Linked DNA regions of Canis lupus familiaris. The protein of the gene in region 2 purifies or fractionates together with the protein of the main gene of each other region. This does not show direct contact. Links are inferred from orthologs where the notes say so. Each region holds a gene or a part of one and is shown on either strand. Other genes may lie near its edges. The genes, in order: EGFR, ATP1A1, RHOA and VDAC1.

Evidence for each region.
Region 1: the proteins of ATP1A1 (region 2) and EGFR purify together in Homo sapiens (affinity purification with mass spectrometry; 4 studies listed by BioGRID and IntAct, with this or other methods). This does not show direct contact. The link is inferred for Canis lupus familiaris from reciprocal best matches to the Homo sapiens genes ATP1A1 and EGFR.
Region 3: the proteins of ATP1A1 (region 2) and RHOA purify together in Homo sapiens (affinity purification with mass spectrometry; 3 studies listed by BioGRID and IntAct, with this or other methods). This does not show direct contact. The link is inferred for Canis lupus familiaris from reciprocal best matches to the Homo sapiens genes ATP1A1 and RHOA.
Region 4: the proteins of ATP1A1 (region 2) and VDAC1 fractionate together in Homo sapiens (co-fractionation; 3 studies listed by BioGRID, with this or other methods). This does not show direct contact. The link is inferred for Canis lupus familiaris from reciprocal best matches to the Homo sapiens genes ATP1A1 and VDAC1.

What each region holds. Positions count from the first base shown.
Region 1 is NC_049239.1:6,117,825-6,121,385, reverse strand, and holds part of EGFR (epidermal growth factor receptor), read right to left. Parts: intron 2,371-3,561; coding exon 2,171-2,370; intron 1,054-2,170; coding exon 921-1,053; intron 1-920. UniProt on the Homo sapiens protein: Receptor tyrosine kinase binding ligands of the EGF family and activating several signaling cascades to convert extracellular cues into appropriate cellular responses.
Region 2 is NC_049238.1:54,370,209-54,373,769, forward strand, and holds part of ATP1A1 (sodium/potassium-transporting ATPase subunit alpha-1), read left to right. Parts: intron 1-288; coding exon 289-412; intron 413-1,239; coding exon 1,240-1,385; intron 1,386-1,499; coding exon 1,500-1,630; intron 1,631-1,897; coding exon 1,898-1,999; intron 2,000-3,561. UniProt on the Homo sapiens protein: This is the catalytic component of the active enzyme, which catalyzes the hydrolysis of ATP coupled with the exchange of sodium and potassium ions across the plasma membrane.
Region 3 is NC_049241.1:40,230,105-40,234,403, reverse strand, and holds the start of RHOA (transforming protein RhoA), read right to left. Parts: upstream 2,854-4,299; 5' UTR 2,685-2,853; intron 1-2,684. Other genes in the region: TCTA (T-cell leukemia translocation-altered gene protein), read left to right, coding at 3,282-3,504, 3,780-3,882. UniProt on the Homo sapiens protein: Small GTPase which cycles between an active GTP-bound and an inactive GDP-bound state.
Region 4 is NC_049232.1:22,230,478-22,234,816, reverse strand, and holds the start of VDAC1 (voltage-dependent anion-selective channel protein 1), read left to right. Parts: upstream 1-1,505; 5' UTR 1,506-1,526; intron 1,527-2,050; exon of another isoform or gene 2,051-2,150; intron 2,151-4,339. UniProt on the Homo sapiens protein: Non-selective voltage-gated ion channel that mediates the transport of anions and cations through the mitochondrion outer membrane and plasma membrane.

The DNA.
Region 1 (3,561 bases), on a different chromosome or scaffold from region 2:
AACCATGAGATTCATGTCTGTTTGCAGCAGTAACGATTGCACCAATATTTCTTACTTGTTGAAGCAACACTGTCAATTATACAAAGGACTCTGTTAGGTGACCGAGCGCACCTGCTAAAGGATTCCTACAGAGTTGGACTTGGGCTTCTCATCCTGTTCCTAAATATTTCTGGATCCGTACTGTGGCCCAAGCGCTGAAAGCGAACAAGAAGGATGGTTCCTGTAGCCATCTGTAATTCCCATGGCTCTTCTCTCTCACAAAATTTCCCCTTTTCTTTACATTAAAAAACAAAAAAAAGCACCTCTGCCTCTCTCTATCCTTCAATTTTACTTTCCTATTAATTTATTCTTAGTCATTATTTGAGGTCATGCAAAAAGCTTGACATCAGTATCAAGATTCCCACAGAAGCAACAGATTGGACTTTCTATTGATGGCAAATAAATTTAACAATGGTTATGTTATATGCTTGTTTATTTCTTTGTCCATGGTTACATTTAAAGTTATTTGCACAGTTTGGTATTTGTTGAACATGAAACAAATTAACCGGGAAATGTAATTTATACTAGGATATTTTGACATGCCAGGAAGAGTAATTCCAAAGAAAAGTCTAAACGGCTGTGGTCTTGGCCACACAAACCATTTCTGACTTTTCCATTTGTCTTGGGAACTCTGTGTGGCTGAGAAAATTATCAGGTATTTCCAAAAATAGAGACTCTCTAAATTAGTGGATAGGATTAAGTAATGAAAAAAGTTTGTTCATTTCCTTTTGTGATTAACAGTTGTCAAGAAATAAAGACCAAAGAAAAAGGGAAAAAAACAAAAGGATAAGTTTCAAAGTGAAGTAACTGTAAACCTATAAAAACAATCGCCTTATTATTATTTTTTAATGAAAACAAAAGGGGTTAAGAGATAGCCTTACCCCTCCAGAATGTTGCACTTTTCCACACATTCCTTGCCACGGCTGACGTTTCGGCAGGACACGCAGTCTCTCGGCCCTGGGCCCCAGCAGCCTTCTGAGGAGCACAATGGATGGCAGACGTGGCCTATGGCCTCTGAGAAGACAGACCGAGACACAAGGGGTCAGCTATGGCACAGTGACTGGAGGGGCCACTTGAGACCGCTCCTGTAAGTGGGATGCTGGGCTCTCTGTGACCTTGAGCTGCATGGACATGGCGGGGTGGGGTGGGGGGGCCTGGAAGAAGCGATGACACACAACGGGCTTCCAGAGGCCAACTACAAGTTCCTCTTCCCTGCGGGGAGTCAAGGGTTCCTGGCCTGGAGCTGGGTAGCATTTTGCGGATGAATGTCATAGCTGATGGAAACACAGGGAAGGTTTGTGGGCCTTGCCGTGTGCTGGGCACCATGCCAAGAGTTTTACATGTAAAATTCCATTTAATTCTCTCCCAAGCAGTGAGAATCACTGAGGAAGCCGAGGCCTACACATGCTGAGTAAACTGACCACAGTCTGGAAGCTGGGAAGGGCTAGAGTCAGGGTGTGACCTCAGATCTGCTTCTCCCAGTGACCAGGTAACGGGCACGCCTGGCTTCAAGAGCTGCCTGGGACTCTAAACTCAGACTAGAAAATGTCAGTGTAAATGTTCATTCTACCTGCACGCGTGTGCACGTGTGTGTGTGCACGTGCGTGTGTGTATGTGTTGCTAGCTACGTTCATCAGAGGCTAAAAGGTAAGATAATGTATACAAAACTCAGTTCTGTAAATTATAAATAAATAATTGATAGCTTAAATCTCAAGGCAAATCCATCCTATGACATGTGAGTGATTTGGAAACAATTCCAATGAACTTTACACGATAACTTCACATTTAGGAATATACAGATTTCTTTTAATCTGCTTCTTCAGGAATGAAAAATGTAACTTAAATGTTTGGGGATATTCCTTTTTAAAATAAATTTTTTTAAAGGATTTTATTTATTTATTCGTGAGAGACACAGAGACAGGGAGAGGGGCAGAGACACAGGCAGAGGGGAAGCAGTCTCCCTGCAGGGAACCTGATGCAGGACTCGATCCCAGGACCCCGGGATCATGACCCGAGCCAAAGGCGGATGCTCAACCACTGAGCCACCCAGGTGCCCTGTTTGGGAATATTCTAAATCAAAAGAAATGATCCATGTGAACCATCTCCACAATCAACCAGAGTGATTACTTACTGCAGGCTTTTTCATCTTTGTTGTTTATAATTTTGGTTTTCTGACTTGAAGTCCCAAAGAGTTTCTTCCAGTTTATTGTATTTGCATAGCACAATTTTCGGTTTCCAGAGATGATCACATCTCCATCGCTTATCTCCTTGAGGGAGCGTAATCCCAAGGACGTTATGTTCAGGCCGACGACCGCCAGAGAAAACTGGCCACTGTCGCGGGGAGAAGAAACATAACGTTGTTAAAAATTATGAAAAGATTATATCACTAAAAACGTTATTTTTATTTTCTGGACCACCTTCTGTTTACTACAAACTGCCTCGCACTGATTGTAAGTCATATTGCAGGAAGTCTGTATCACAACTTCTGAAAATTATAAGAGTTTTTTTTTTAAAGCTCCTCCAGGGAAAAGCCTGTTCCTTGTTCATTTAGTATCTTTAACCCCAGTGGCATTGTGGGGGCTGAATAAACGTTAATATCATTATTATATGCACTGCATTTTTTTTTTGTGCCTGGGAATAGAGAGCATGTTCTAACCTCTCAAATATCCAAATACGCTTCAAAAACCATAGGTTCATCTTTTCCACCCATGCATCCACCCATTCATCTATCCATCTATCTACTCACTCATCAATCCGTATACTTGTCTATGTATCTATGCACATATGCATCCATCGATCCTTCCACCTCTCTATTCATCCATCCATCACCCATATCCATTCATCTGTCCATTCACCTATTCACCCAACTATCTATCCACTCATCTGTCCACTCATCTATGCATCCATGCACCTACCCATCCATCCACCTTCCCACTCATCTATCCATTCATCCATGGATTCATCTATCCATTCATCCATCTATCCCTCCACCTGTTGATGCACTGATTCATCGATCTATCCATTTACTGAACAATCATTTGAACCACCCAACTCTGTGCTAGAACTCTATAAGGCTATCAATAGGTTTCCATCAAGTGATTGGGCAAAAGTCATTCACCCTGAAGGGAGGGAAGTCCTGAACAGGAGCAGGAAGGCAAGAAAGCAGCTGATGGGTGCTGAGAACCAGGAGCTACTGCTGGAGCAGAAGCCTGGAAGAAGTGTCCGGTTACTTGGACACCTTGAGCTCGGTTGTGGTCTGCAAATGATGGAAACCATAGGAAAGAGACTTGCATTTTTGGGAAGCTCACTGGACACCAAGACAGGGAATGGACTAGTTGAGACAGCACCGAATGAGGAGACATCATACACAGGATGACAAAAGTTTAACTTGGAGATTCCTCCTCTCTCCTTGTCTCTGTTTCTCCCTCAACCTTTTCCTCCTCCTCCTCCCTTTCCACAGCCTGCTCCTGAGGAAAGCGAGGAGCCCTGTGTAGGAGACCAGCAGCACCACTGTTTTAGAAA
Region 2 (3,561 bases):
GGTGGCTGAGCGGTTAAGCATCTGCCTTGGGCTCAAGGCATGATCCTGGAGTCCCAGGATCGAGTCCCTCATCCGCTCCCTGCATGGAGCCTGCTTCTCCCTCTGCCTGTGTCCCTGCTACTCCCTCTGCCTGTGTCTCTGCCTCTCTCTAGTATCTCTCATGAATAAATAACATCTTTAAAAAGTAAGAAAATAAAGGGGGAAAGGGCAAGGACTTTATAATGGAAGGTTCACAGTGTCAGCTTCCTGGTATCTGACAACTTTTATACTCCTGCCTCTCGTCCCCAGGTTCCTGCTATCTCCCTGGCTTATGAGCAAGCTGAGAGCGACATCATGAAGAGACAGCCCAGAAACCCCAAAACGGACAAGCTTGTGAATGAGCGGCTGATCAGCATGGCCTATGGACAGATCGGTAAGCTGCTGCTGGTGACCTTGCACCCCAACTCTCTCCACCCCCAGGGCTTGGTTCCTGCTCTATCAGCAGTGGAACATGACCTCTAACAGGTGGGCAGTGAAAATGCCCTTTGATCCTAAATGCTCTGCCTACTGGCCTTCAGGAGAAGCCGGCAAGGCCACTGTGAGCAGCCCAGGCCTTTGGATTAATAGGTTGTAGTACTGTGAACACTTGGGTAAAATGGAACAGATAAGAACGTTGTAGAAATAGGACAGAGACTTGTCGACAGTTGCTGAGAAGAGGTTGGCTACTGGCCGGGAAGACCTAAGTTTAACAAGGAAGACTAGGTCCAGAGCATAGGACGAAATCTTGCCCTGAGGAATTCAGGATAGTGTGGTGTGGGATCAGAGGCCAGAGGAGAAGCGTCCTGAAAGTGGTAGGAGGAGGAGAAGGGTTGGGTCAGAAAATTCACTTATTTTGAATGTGTGAAAACTGAGATGGGAAAATAGTCGTGTTGTATCAGAGATTAAAAAATAGGGATGCGTTTTTCCCCCCTAAAAAGGCTCTGCCCCCATAGAGATACATGACCATGTAATAGCAGTGGGTGTTTCGGGGGTTTCAGAGTAAGGCCTGTGTGTCTTCCCCTTTTAAAGCTCTAAAAAGTGATTCAAAAAGAGAAGAGGGCACCGAGTGAGGGCTATGTCCCTGGGATCCTCCATCCTTCTAGTCCTCTCTCAACCAGTGACAGCCGCCCCTAAGTCCCCTCCCAGGCTTCCTGCAGCACTCAGATGAAGTATGTGCAGATGCCCTGGAATCAGGTTAGAATTGTTTTTCCACCCCTGCAGGTATGATCCAGGCCTTGGGGGGCTTCTTCACTTACTTTGTGATTCTGGCTGAGAACGGCTTCCTCCCGACCCACCTGCTGGGCCTCCGAGTGGACTGGGATGACCGCTGGATCAACGACGTGGAGGACAGCTATGGGCAGCAGTGGGTGAGTGAGGGCCCAAACAGTGGGAGCTCCTTAGGCCCCCCGAGGACAGTGGCCACTCAGCCTCTGGCCATGCAGGCCAAGAGCCGGCTCACCTGTCTGCCTTCTGTGTTTCAGACCTACGAACAGAGGAAAATCGTGGAGTTCACTTGCCACACGGCCTTCTTCGTCAGTATCGTGGTGGTGCAGTGGGCTGACTTGGTCATCTGTAAGACCAGGAGGAACTCAGTCTTCCAGCAGGGGATGAAGTGAGTAGAGGACACTCAGGGCCCTCACGGGAGGCATCTTGGTGATCTCTAAACTCCCCGAACCCAATACATGGCAGTTTCTGGAAAATCCCCTCTTTTGGAACAGATTTAGGAAGCAAGATGTGATTCTCCGGGTTTTTTTTTTCATCTGCCCGCAAGTTCCTAAGTACAACTGACACATAAAGACCTTGATCTGTCTTTTAACACATAGCATTAGAAGAGAAACATCTGATTGCATTCTTAAGCTTTTTCTTCCCTTGATTTTAGGAACAAGATCCTAATATTTGGCCTCTTTGAAGAGACGGCCCTTGCTGCTTTCCTGTCCTACTGCCCTGGAATGGGTGTTGCCCTGAGGATGTACCCCCTCAAGTAAGTTGCTCCTCTTCCAGCTCCGCAAAGTGTGAGAGAAAAGTGGAACTTCTCTCATGATGTGCACTAGTAACTATTACTGTTAGGAATTTGGGGTGGCACATCCAAGAATTTCTCTGGCTGGAAATTAGGAAGGATTGACCAGTGTCCTTAGGCTTTACCTGGGATCAGGCCAGACAGGCTCTGGTACCTTGGGATTGCTCACCAGCTAACTGCATCAGTGCTCAGGCCACCTTCAGCAACTGTCTAGTTGTCATTAGAGGCAGACCAGAGAGGCCTAGGGCTTGGAATGGGTTCAAATCTTGATTTACCTGCCTAGTTCCTGTGTGTCCTATCACAGGCCCCCGCCTTTGGGCCTCGGAATCCTCTGTTTTCAAAGGAAGAAGGTGGGAGAAGCAGGCTTGAAGTAGATCACAGTAGAGTAGACCAAAGGAAGCTGACCACTAAGTCTTTGCTCAGGATCAGACTAGCCTTTTTTTAAACACAGTGAAGGACTCTGTGGTAGACCCTGTATGTGAAAAATTCAGGTTTATCACAAGTGCAAATTCCAGTAGTTTTTTTTTTTTTTTTTTTAAGATTTTATTTATTTATTCATGAGAGACACAGAAAGAGAGGCAGAGACACAGTCAGAGGGAGAAGCAGGCTCCATGCAGGGAGCCTAATGTGGGACTCAATCCCAGGACCCCAGGGTCATGCCCTGAGCTGAAGGCAGATGCTCAACCACTGAGCCACCCAGGCGTCCCTCCAGTAGCTTTTTGAAACAAAAGAGTGTGGTGGTATCTGCTAGCTGGTTGAGGTTAAACAGTTGTAACTTGATTAAAAGATGCTAAAGTACAAAATATGGCACCCCTGTAACATGACCTTTTGATTCAAAAGTCTCAAAAAAAAAAAAAAAAAGAAAAGAAAAAAAGTCTCCCCACCCTTGGGGCGCCTAGGTGGCTTAGTTGGTTAGTTGTCTGACTCTTGATTTCAGGTCATGGTCTCAGGGTCATGGGATCAAGCCCCACATAGGGCTCTGTGCTCAGCAAGGAGTCTGCTTGAGATTCTCCCTCTCTCACTGTGCCCACACCCCCCATCCCCCAACCCACACATACACCCCAAAACTCTTAAAAAAAAATTCTCCCCAGCCTTGCTCTCAGATCCATCCTACCTGGCTGGTAGCCATCACCTCCTTCCACTGACCCCATCCCTGAAGTAGCCAAGCCCCATGAGCCTCCCTGGCATCTTGTTGGGTCTGTACAGATATCCCCTGTGTGCAAGGGTAGCCTGGCATCTAGGGTCTCTCACTATTGTCCAAATGGTCTTTCTAGCCTTCTCTTGTAGCCATCCAAGCTTCTGTTGGGTGAATTCAGTATTCTTTCCCCGCATACATATTTTGGTAAGGATGCTTCCTCCCACCCCACTAGTTTGGATAATCCTTCAGGACTGGTTTCCCGGGAGCTTGTCCCATGTGGTCTCACCCTCCTGGATTGGTGTACTTGCACCCCTTCTTTGGTATTACTTGTCATTTCTGTTCCCCACTAGCTTATAATCTTTAAGGCATGGGCTATAGGAATTTTTTT
Region 3 (4,299 bases), on a different chromosome or scaffold from region 2:
ATCTCACAAGTACTTAACAGTGAGCATATCCCCAAAGAGCACAGTATAGTAAGACACATTAACACACATGTTTAAAATTTAGTTACATTAATATGTAGGTGCAAACAAAATTCCTCTAGCCAGGGACATGAAAGACTAAAAACTAAGTGCTACAGGAAGGTAAAATAACTTTTAAGTACCTTTTAAAGTACAAATATATGTGATTAAAATCCAGTGATTATGTACCATTTATCATTATCACTAGCAGCCAAATACAATTAAACCCAAAGTGTTGTCTAGAGAAGCTCAGCAAGCCCAAATTCGTTCTCTTAGAAGCTGAAGTATCAGTCTGTCTTCTGAGAGTTAACATAAATCTCTCAGCTCTAGAACTAAAACAACCCAAAGTAGCAACTCCTCCTCCTGTCACAGCTTGAATTCCACCTCAATATCTACCTGTTTTCACTCTCCTCTAAGAACAACCAGGACAAGAGAATACGATAAAACTACTGCCACACATACACAGAACTATTTACTTAATATGTGCAGTTTCTCACCATCCCACCTCAAATTAATAGGCAAAAGAGCCCTCAGTCACATTATAACATCTTGGTCTGACCTAATTATGTTGGGCTTTGGAGCAGGGGAGTCTGGGCCTCACATTGGAAGAAGTTGTTCCCTCAAGAAGACCCAAACACCCCTGGGTGGTACACTCAGTCGAGCATCAGACTCTTGGTTTCAGCTCAGATCATGATCTCCAGGTTGTGAGATTCGGCTCAAAGTTGGCCTCCGAGCTCAGGGAGGAGTCAGCTAGGGTTTCTCTCTCTTCCTCAAAACCTCCCCATGCTCGTGCTCTCTCTCAAATGGTTAAATAAATCTCTAAAAAAAACAAACAAACAAACAAGCGAACAAAACCCCCAAAACACCTAAAGCTAAAACTAGGCCAAGCAGGGACTCTGTATATTCATTTATGTATTTCAATCAACTGCTGTAGGACCATCCAGTTCCGGGGAGGAGAGCGCAGTGAAAGCTAAAGAACTGAGTTTGTTTAGAAATGAATTTTTCAGGTTCTCAAAACATATATAAAATCAGTAATATGTAAAAGAAGAAAATACTGGAAATAAGTCCTGAATTTTACTTAACTCTAAGCAAGCTGTTTCAGAGTACAAGAATACCTCAGAGTTCTGGCCTGCACCTGACCAGAAAAATGACCTTAGGAAATTTATGTAAGTCTCTGAGACTCAGTTTCCTCATCTGCAAATAGGGTTAGACCGTAAGTCCTGAAGATACCTTTGGGTCTAAAATTCTAGATCTACGAAAAAGTCAGTGGATTTCTATTCTCTTCTTCCCTCCAGTACAAATTTTTTATGAGAAAAGAAGCCATAACTCTAAGCCTAGACTCTGACTCAAAGTGAGTTTTCTTCTATTTTGTTAGCTTCCCAAGGGCCACCACTCATCTACAAAAGTAGATGGAACTACCAAAAAAACAATTTATCAAAAGATCTTTAAGTTTTCCTTCACAATTAAGAATTAGTCTTGTACTTTCAGGCCAAACAATGTCACGCCCAACGCTCATACCAGTATCTCTACCAATTTAGCCATGTCTAAAGTGACAATCCTGCAATGGTACATATATGTACCATTTTCAACCATTTAGTGGTTGAAAAATTAAATGACTGAAAAATTCTCACCACAAATAACATTTTAAAGAATTTTAAGTATTTTTCCCCTTCAGATCTGGCAGGGAGGGCTATAAAATGCATACCTGAATAAAAAAACATTTACTTCAAAGACAAACACCAAAAGAAGGAAACATATCACCAATATTGGTAAAAACTTTAAATCAGGACCATTAAAAAAACACAAGTGGAAAACACTGTGATAAAAAAGGATACCAATTTTCCACCATAAACTACTGCACATTGTCTTGACCAAATCGATTTGAGTGCAAACAGTGCTATTTAATAAAGACAGCTTGTAACTGGGTTCAATCGGTAACTAAAGACAGATGTTTAGGGGATTCCAATCAAGGTAATAACTTAGACTAAGCAAAGTTGCAAATTAATACTCTATTTCAATGCAATAGAGTTTAAATCATGAAAAAGTGTTTTCAACTGGAAAATTCCCTTCTCAATACCCAAGAATCCTAACCCGTAAGATTTCAACACTACTTTACTTACACAATCTCCGAAACTACTGCATTTAAAAAGAAAATCTACCCAAAACATATCTGGACTTCACACCGTATAAAACGGTGATTCATGTTTCATATTCAATGCAAAAGCCAAGATGGAGTTGTAAAGAGTTTCTTTCCCATTTCAACTCCCGACAGCCACGCGCGCTTCGCAGGGACCCGCTGCACCGCGCGGTCGCCGGGCCCAGCTCGAAGCCCCCGCCCTGCCCCGCACGGCCGTGAGAGAGGAAGAGCCAGGGACCGCGGGCGGGCGTCTTGGGCTCCACCAGGCCTGGCCGGGCGGGGGAAGGGGCGCGGGAGGCCGCGGGGCGCGCTTCCGGGGACTGCGCGGGCGGGGCCGTCGCTTTGGGGAGCGGGGCCCCGGCCAGAAGGCTGGGGCCGGGGCCCAGGGGCAGCCGGTTGAGAGCAGCAGGTGGGGCGCGGCCGCGGCGGGGCGGCGGGCGGGCGGGAGGCCGGAAGAGCGGCGGGCGGGCCCGGGGCGCCGCGGCGCCAGGAGAGAACCCTCTCGGCTCACCTCAGGCGACGACTCGCAGTCCGGCCTCTCTGCGCCGAGTGCGCCTGTCCGCGAGTCGGAAGCTCGGAGACTGGGGCGGGTGGCTGAGAAGACCACGGCGAACTAACGAGAGAACCGACGGAGGACGGCGGGCGGCGGGCGGGGAGCGCGAGCGAGGGCGGTCGGCGGCGGGAGGGCGGGGAGCGACGTGCGCGCCCCCGTGTGCCAGCGGGCTCGAGCCGGCCCCAGCCGCGGCCCCGCGCACGCGCGCACACTTACAGCTCAGCCACGATTGCTCAGGAGCGCGTCCACGCCCTAATAGCAGGGCGCTTAACCAATCACTGCAGCCGCGTGGGGCATCACGGGAACTCCGGGGCTATAAAAGACCTGGTTGCTATTTTATGCTCCTCGTCTCACTCATCGTTTAAGTAAGCAGGGTGGGGCTAGGTGCGCGTGCGCGGTTTTAGTACTCCTCCCCAAACTGCCAACTCTTCGCGCAAGCGAAGTAGACTCGCCTTGCCTGGTTTACGCGTGCGCATTAACGGGCCTGGCCCGGAAGACCAGACGCCTGCGCAGTGGGTGCTATAGTGACAGTCCCGGGTGGGGCATGGGCCAGTCATGGCGGAGCCTTGGTCTGGGCAGTCCTTGCAGTCTCTGCCGACCTTGGTGCTGGGCACACTGGGCACCCTGGGCAGCGAGTTCCTGCGGGAGTGGGAGGCGCAGGACATGCGCGTTACCCTCTTCAAGCTGCTGCTACTGTGGTTGGTGATAAGTCTCCTGGGCATCCAGCTGGCGTGGGGGTTCTACGGGAGCACGGTAACAGGGCTGTATCACCGCCCAGGTGAGGCTCCCCATCCCCACCGGACTGCATCATTGGGCTCCCCAGAACTCCCTAGACTACCACTGGTCTCCTAAGAACCTCATCACAACTTTATGCTCTACCCTGACCCATGCCAACATACCATTTCATGCCAGAAATCCCGGACCACCCATCACATTTTAACCGCTCCCTTGAACCTCCATCAGACAATACCACTAGTCCCTTTAAGGCCCCCACAAGACTCCATCAAACAACATCACTGGCCTTTAACTTGATCTGGGCTGATACCTGCTCAGATTCCCACCCCAAGCCTGCTGCAGCTCTGGATGTGTTCCTGCCCCCAGGTCTGGGCGGCCAGAACGGATCCACACCTGATGGCTCCACGCATTTCACTTCGTGGTAAGTAAATCTGTGCCCATGTCAACCCCATGCTTGGCAGGCAGAAGACACATCTATGCTGGGAACAGGGACAGGGCTAGGAAGTTCTCAGGGCAGGAGTCCACCAGTTTAGTGGCCTTTGCAGCAAGCTCAAAGGCTTGCAAGTGGAGCTCAGGCTTCGAATGATACCAATTTAACAGCCCATTGATAGGCTATTCAGCAACCTGTGGGGCTGGTGGTGCTACTGTCAAAATCTCAGAGATAAAGTAGCAGGTCTGTTGAGTTCAACTCTACTGCAAGCCCCTCAATTTAGAAAGGCAGGAGGCTTTGTCCTTTTTTTTTTTTTTAAGGTTTTATTTATTCATGAGAGACACAGGCAGAGGGAGAAGCAGGCTCCATGCAGGGAGCCTGACATGGGACTTGATCCTGGGTGTCTAG
Region 4 (4,339 bases), on a different chromosome or scaffold from region 2:
TGGTTTCATTCTTAGGGTCTTTTTTAAAAATTTTATAAAGATTTTATTTATCCCCTGCAGGGAGCCTGTTGCAGGACTTGGTATCAGGACCCTGGAATCACAACCTGAGCCAAAGGCAGACTCAGTAACTGAGCCACCCAGGTGCCCCAGCGCAAGTCTTTATTTCAAAAGCCCTGAAGTCTGACGAAGATCATTGGTCCATCCTGTAGCCAGTAGGGTGCAGTGCTTTGATTGGTCCAAGAAAGGGCCTGGAGTCAGGGATGGAGTTAGCTCCATCAAAGCTTATGGAATGACTGGAGAGAGAGAAGGGTCATTCCCTCCAAAGAAACACTGTTATACCTGACCTGGGTTTATTAGCTCATAATTGCAAGGGAGGACCTGATTGGCTGCTCTTGGGTCAGGTGCCCCCCCTCCAGTCCGAACCTGGCAAGAAAGAAGGAAGGTGGGGCTGGAGGTGGCAGAGCCAAGCCTGGCATAACCTGCTGCCTGGTTCAGCTCTTCCTTTGGGGCTGTGGTGGGGAGCAGTCAACACTAGGGTCTGAGGATGCCATGTTGCACCAGATTTCTTCAGTGTTTTTGGAGTGCTTGCTTCCCATTTTAAACTTGCCCCAACCCTCTGAAATTGCAGCTGAGCAGTTAGCCCAGTTGCCCAGAGTCACACAGCCAGTGAGTCAAAGAACACTCGTGTGATTCATCTGAAAGTGACACCTGGGGGAGCCCCAGAAGGGACCCAGAGCAGGTGGGGTATGGGGAACTCTTCCCACAATCAGGGTCCTGAAAGGTGGTTTGGCAAGGAGGTGCTGGAGAGGAGGGGAACACTTAGGACCTTTGGTCCAAGCATCACACCTGGGCTTTACTGACCCAGGGTGAGATATCTGCTCCTAGCTCCTGTGACATTTCTGGAGCCCCATCTTCCCCTAGAGCTATCTGGCTCTGCCCTGCCTCCTTGAGGTCCTGTCCTCCCAAAGGCGGCTTTCCTGCGCTCATGGGTGACTCAGTGGCTTTCCTTGCCTCACCCTCTCCAGGAGTGTGCCGGGGCCTTTGTGTGTGGAGCGGGAATGACCAGGCTGGGAAGCTCTGAGCCCTCCAGTTAGCCATGGAGCAGCTCGTGGGCCTGGGGAGAGTTCCAGCATGAGCGCTCCACGCTCCAGGACCTCAGGGGGTTTAGCGTGCTTAGACCAGAGACCCCTACAGAGCCCGGTGCACTTTGCACCGCCCCCGCCCCCCCCTTCCCAACCCCATAAGCTGGTGCCCTTCTTCTCGGCATCCGGGCCCCATCGGAACACCAGTCAGTTGCCTTTTCCTCCTCCCGCTGCCCTCGGCCCAGCAGCCTGTCCTCTGGCCTCTGCCGCCGCCCCAGCCGCCTGCTCCTTTAATCGGCGCCACAGCTGGTGGTGAGCGAGCGTCGGGGTCCCGGAGCCCCTGCCTCCTCCACGGGCCCCGAGGCGCGGAGAACGAACGTTTGTTGGCGGAGGCCAAAGCCGCGCAGCCCCTCCGACCGGCCACGAGGCTCTGCGCAATTCTGGGTGACGGAGGCCGCCGGCTCGGGCGGGGCGGGGGCTCCCCGGGGGCCCGGGCTGGCTCCCGCCTCCCGTCTGCGCTCTCGGGCTCCCAGCGGGGGACGTTCTGCCGAAGCGCGGTTTGCTGTTTTCACTTCGCAAAAGCTCCGAAAATGGCCACTGGCAGTCTCGCTCCCGGGGAAAGTGCCTGCTACTCTGGAGCGCAAAAGCTCGGCGCACCCGGGTTGCTCGGCGCTTGGCCCTCGGCCGCCGCGGCCGGCACGCGTGTCCCCGCGCACGCACCCCTCGCGCGCCGCCTCGTCCCGCGCCGGGGCCCTCGCCGCCCCCCTCCGCGCGCCCGCACTCGCCCGGGGCACCGCGTCGGGGCAGGCGCCGAGGGCGCGCGGAGGGGGCGGCGGGCGCGGGCGCGGGCGCGGGCGCGGGGACCGGGCCCCGGCCTGGGCGGTGTCCGGGGCGGGCCCAGGGGCGGGGCTCGCGTGCCCGGGTGCGCAGGGTCGGGGCGGGTCCGCGCCGCCGCCGTCCGCGCCGCCCCGCCCCGCCCTCGGCCCGGCCGTGCGCTCGGTTCCTCGCGCAGCAGCCTCCGCGGTAGGTGCCGCCGAGCCCGCCGCCGAGCCCGCCGCCGCCCGCGAGGTAGGCACCTCGGCCGGGGACCCGCGCCCCGCAGGCGCCCGGGGGGGCGGGCCGGGCCGCGGGAGCTGAGCGGGAGGCGGTGGAGGGAGGAGCCGCGCGGACGGGGGGCCGAGGGCCGGGCCGGGCCGGGCCGGGCGGCGCGGGGGAGCGGAGCGGGGCGGGAGCGGGGCGGGAGCGGGGCGGGAGCGGGGCGCCCCGCGAGGGCCTGGGCGGGCAGCGGCGGGCGCAGCAGGCCTCGGCGGGCGGCCCGGGCGGGGAGCGGGCGGCCGGACGCCCCGGGGCGCCTGCGGCTGGGGCTCGAGCCTGCGGGGACCGCGGGGACCGCGGGCGGAAGGGCACGGGCCGCGCGTGAGGGCCCGGCCGGCTGCAGGTCTCGGTGACCTTTGCCGGCGGCGCCCTCTGGACCTGGGTCCCGCCCTCGCGGCCCGGCGGGGGACCGCCCGCCACCCACGCTCGCCGGGCTCGGCCCACGGACCGGCGCGGGCCATGCGGTGGCCGCGGGGATGAGCCGCTGTGATGACCGAGGCCCAGCCCGGCCCCGGCCCCGGCCCCGGCCCCCGCACCGGCCCCCGGCCCCCGGCCCCGCACGCCCTGCCCGGCCCGTGGGTGCACGCCCAGGGACGCTGGCGCCCGGCCTTGTCCGCGGGTCCTAGGCCTCTAGGGCCCGGGCGGGGGGCTAGGCCTTGGGAAGGGAGGCCCGGCGGGAGCGGGATGTGGCCTCCTTGGCCTCTGGAGCGCCTCCCGGTTTGTTTGCTCGTTCATTCACGGAGCGCGGCGGCGCCTTCACGAAACTGGCTCGGAGCCCTTGGATTTCCGGACTTGCAATCCCAGTGACTTGTCCAAGGTCACACTCAGCAGGCCTGAGTGCTCTCATCTGTAGAATAGGAGCAGTTACAGCTCTCCCTCGTTGGGTTTTTGGGAAGAATAAAATGAGTTGGTCAACACGAAGCCTTCAGGGGAAAGCTGGACAGCCTTGAGGCTTTTTGGGAGGATTTAGCCCATCCTCTGCAGACCATTTTACTCCACGTGGTGTTCTGGAAAGGGTTCAATAAACAGCCAGCTGCTGTTATTTTAAACATTATTACTAAGCACTTGTATACTGGGCACTGAGTAATTTTCAGGATAATTCATGAAAAATCCTTATAGAAGTTTATAGACAGACAAGGTCAGGCTGAAGCAGGAAGTTGCCTTTGGGTGCAGAGCTGAGGGAAGCCTAGCCTTGTTTGACCCATTCCCTTGACCAGCCTCACCTCTCTGGAGGAGATAGAGAATGGATCCCTCCTTTTCTGCATTCACTGTTGGCAAGGCCAGGGCAGACTGCCCAGGGCTTGCCTTGTTTCTCCAGCCCAGCTCTGGACTGAGTTCTACAGGGTTAGGCTTAAGCCTTATGCAGCTTTGTTTTCAGCGCCTGGGGTGGTGCCACTTGACCCACATTAGGTACTTGAGAAGGGTCTGTGGGGGCAAATGCAATCTTGCTTTTTATCCAAGAAGCAACTCACCCTTACTGAGAGAAGGATAGTTTTTACGATGGCAGCATGTGGCTTAGAGTAGGTGCTCATTAAGTATTTGTGAAATTATTGAATGGGCATATGTAGTGGATGCAGGCCCAGACCAGAGTTTCTTGATCTTGGACATCCTAAGGGACACACACTCATTCACTTCCAGCAAATACCCTTGCTTAGGAGAGAGTCACAGATATTTAAAGACTCGCAGTTGAATGTACAGCCCTGGAGCACTGAGATGCAGATCTGTTTCCTTTTTTTTTTTTTTTTTTAAGATTTTTAAATTTTATTTATTCATAGAGACAGAGAGAGAGGCAGAGACACAGGCAGAGGGAGAAGCGGGCTCCCTGCAGGGAGCCCGATGTGGGATTCGATCCTGGGTCTCCAGGATCACGACCCAGGCTGTAGGCGGTGCTAAACCACTGCGCCACCGGGGCTGCCCGCAGATCTGTTTCCTAATTTGAAATCTGCTTTAAACCTATTACCTTCGTTATGTGACTTTTTCACATCCTGTGGGAAACTTGTAGAACTGGTGTTTCTGGGCCTGCAGGGTGGTGGTGGTGGGGTGACCCCAGTGAGTCGGGATTCTCCTAAGGTTTTGGGCCTGGTGCTTTTCCTCTTTCTGATGAGTGGATTGGTAAAATGCTTGACCCTGGAGATTGTCCAGAGTAAAATTCTTGACCGTGG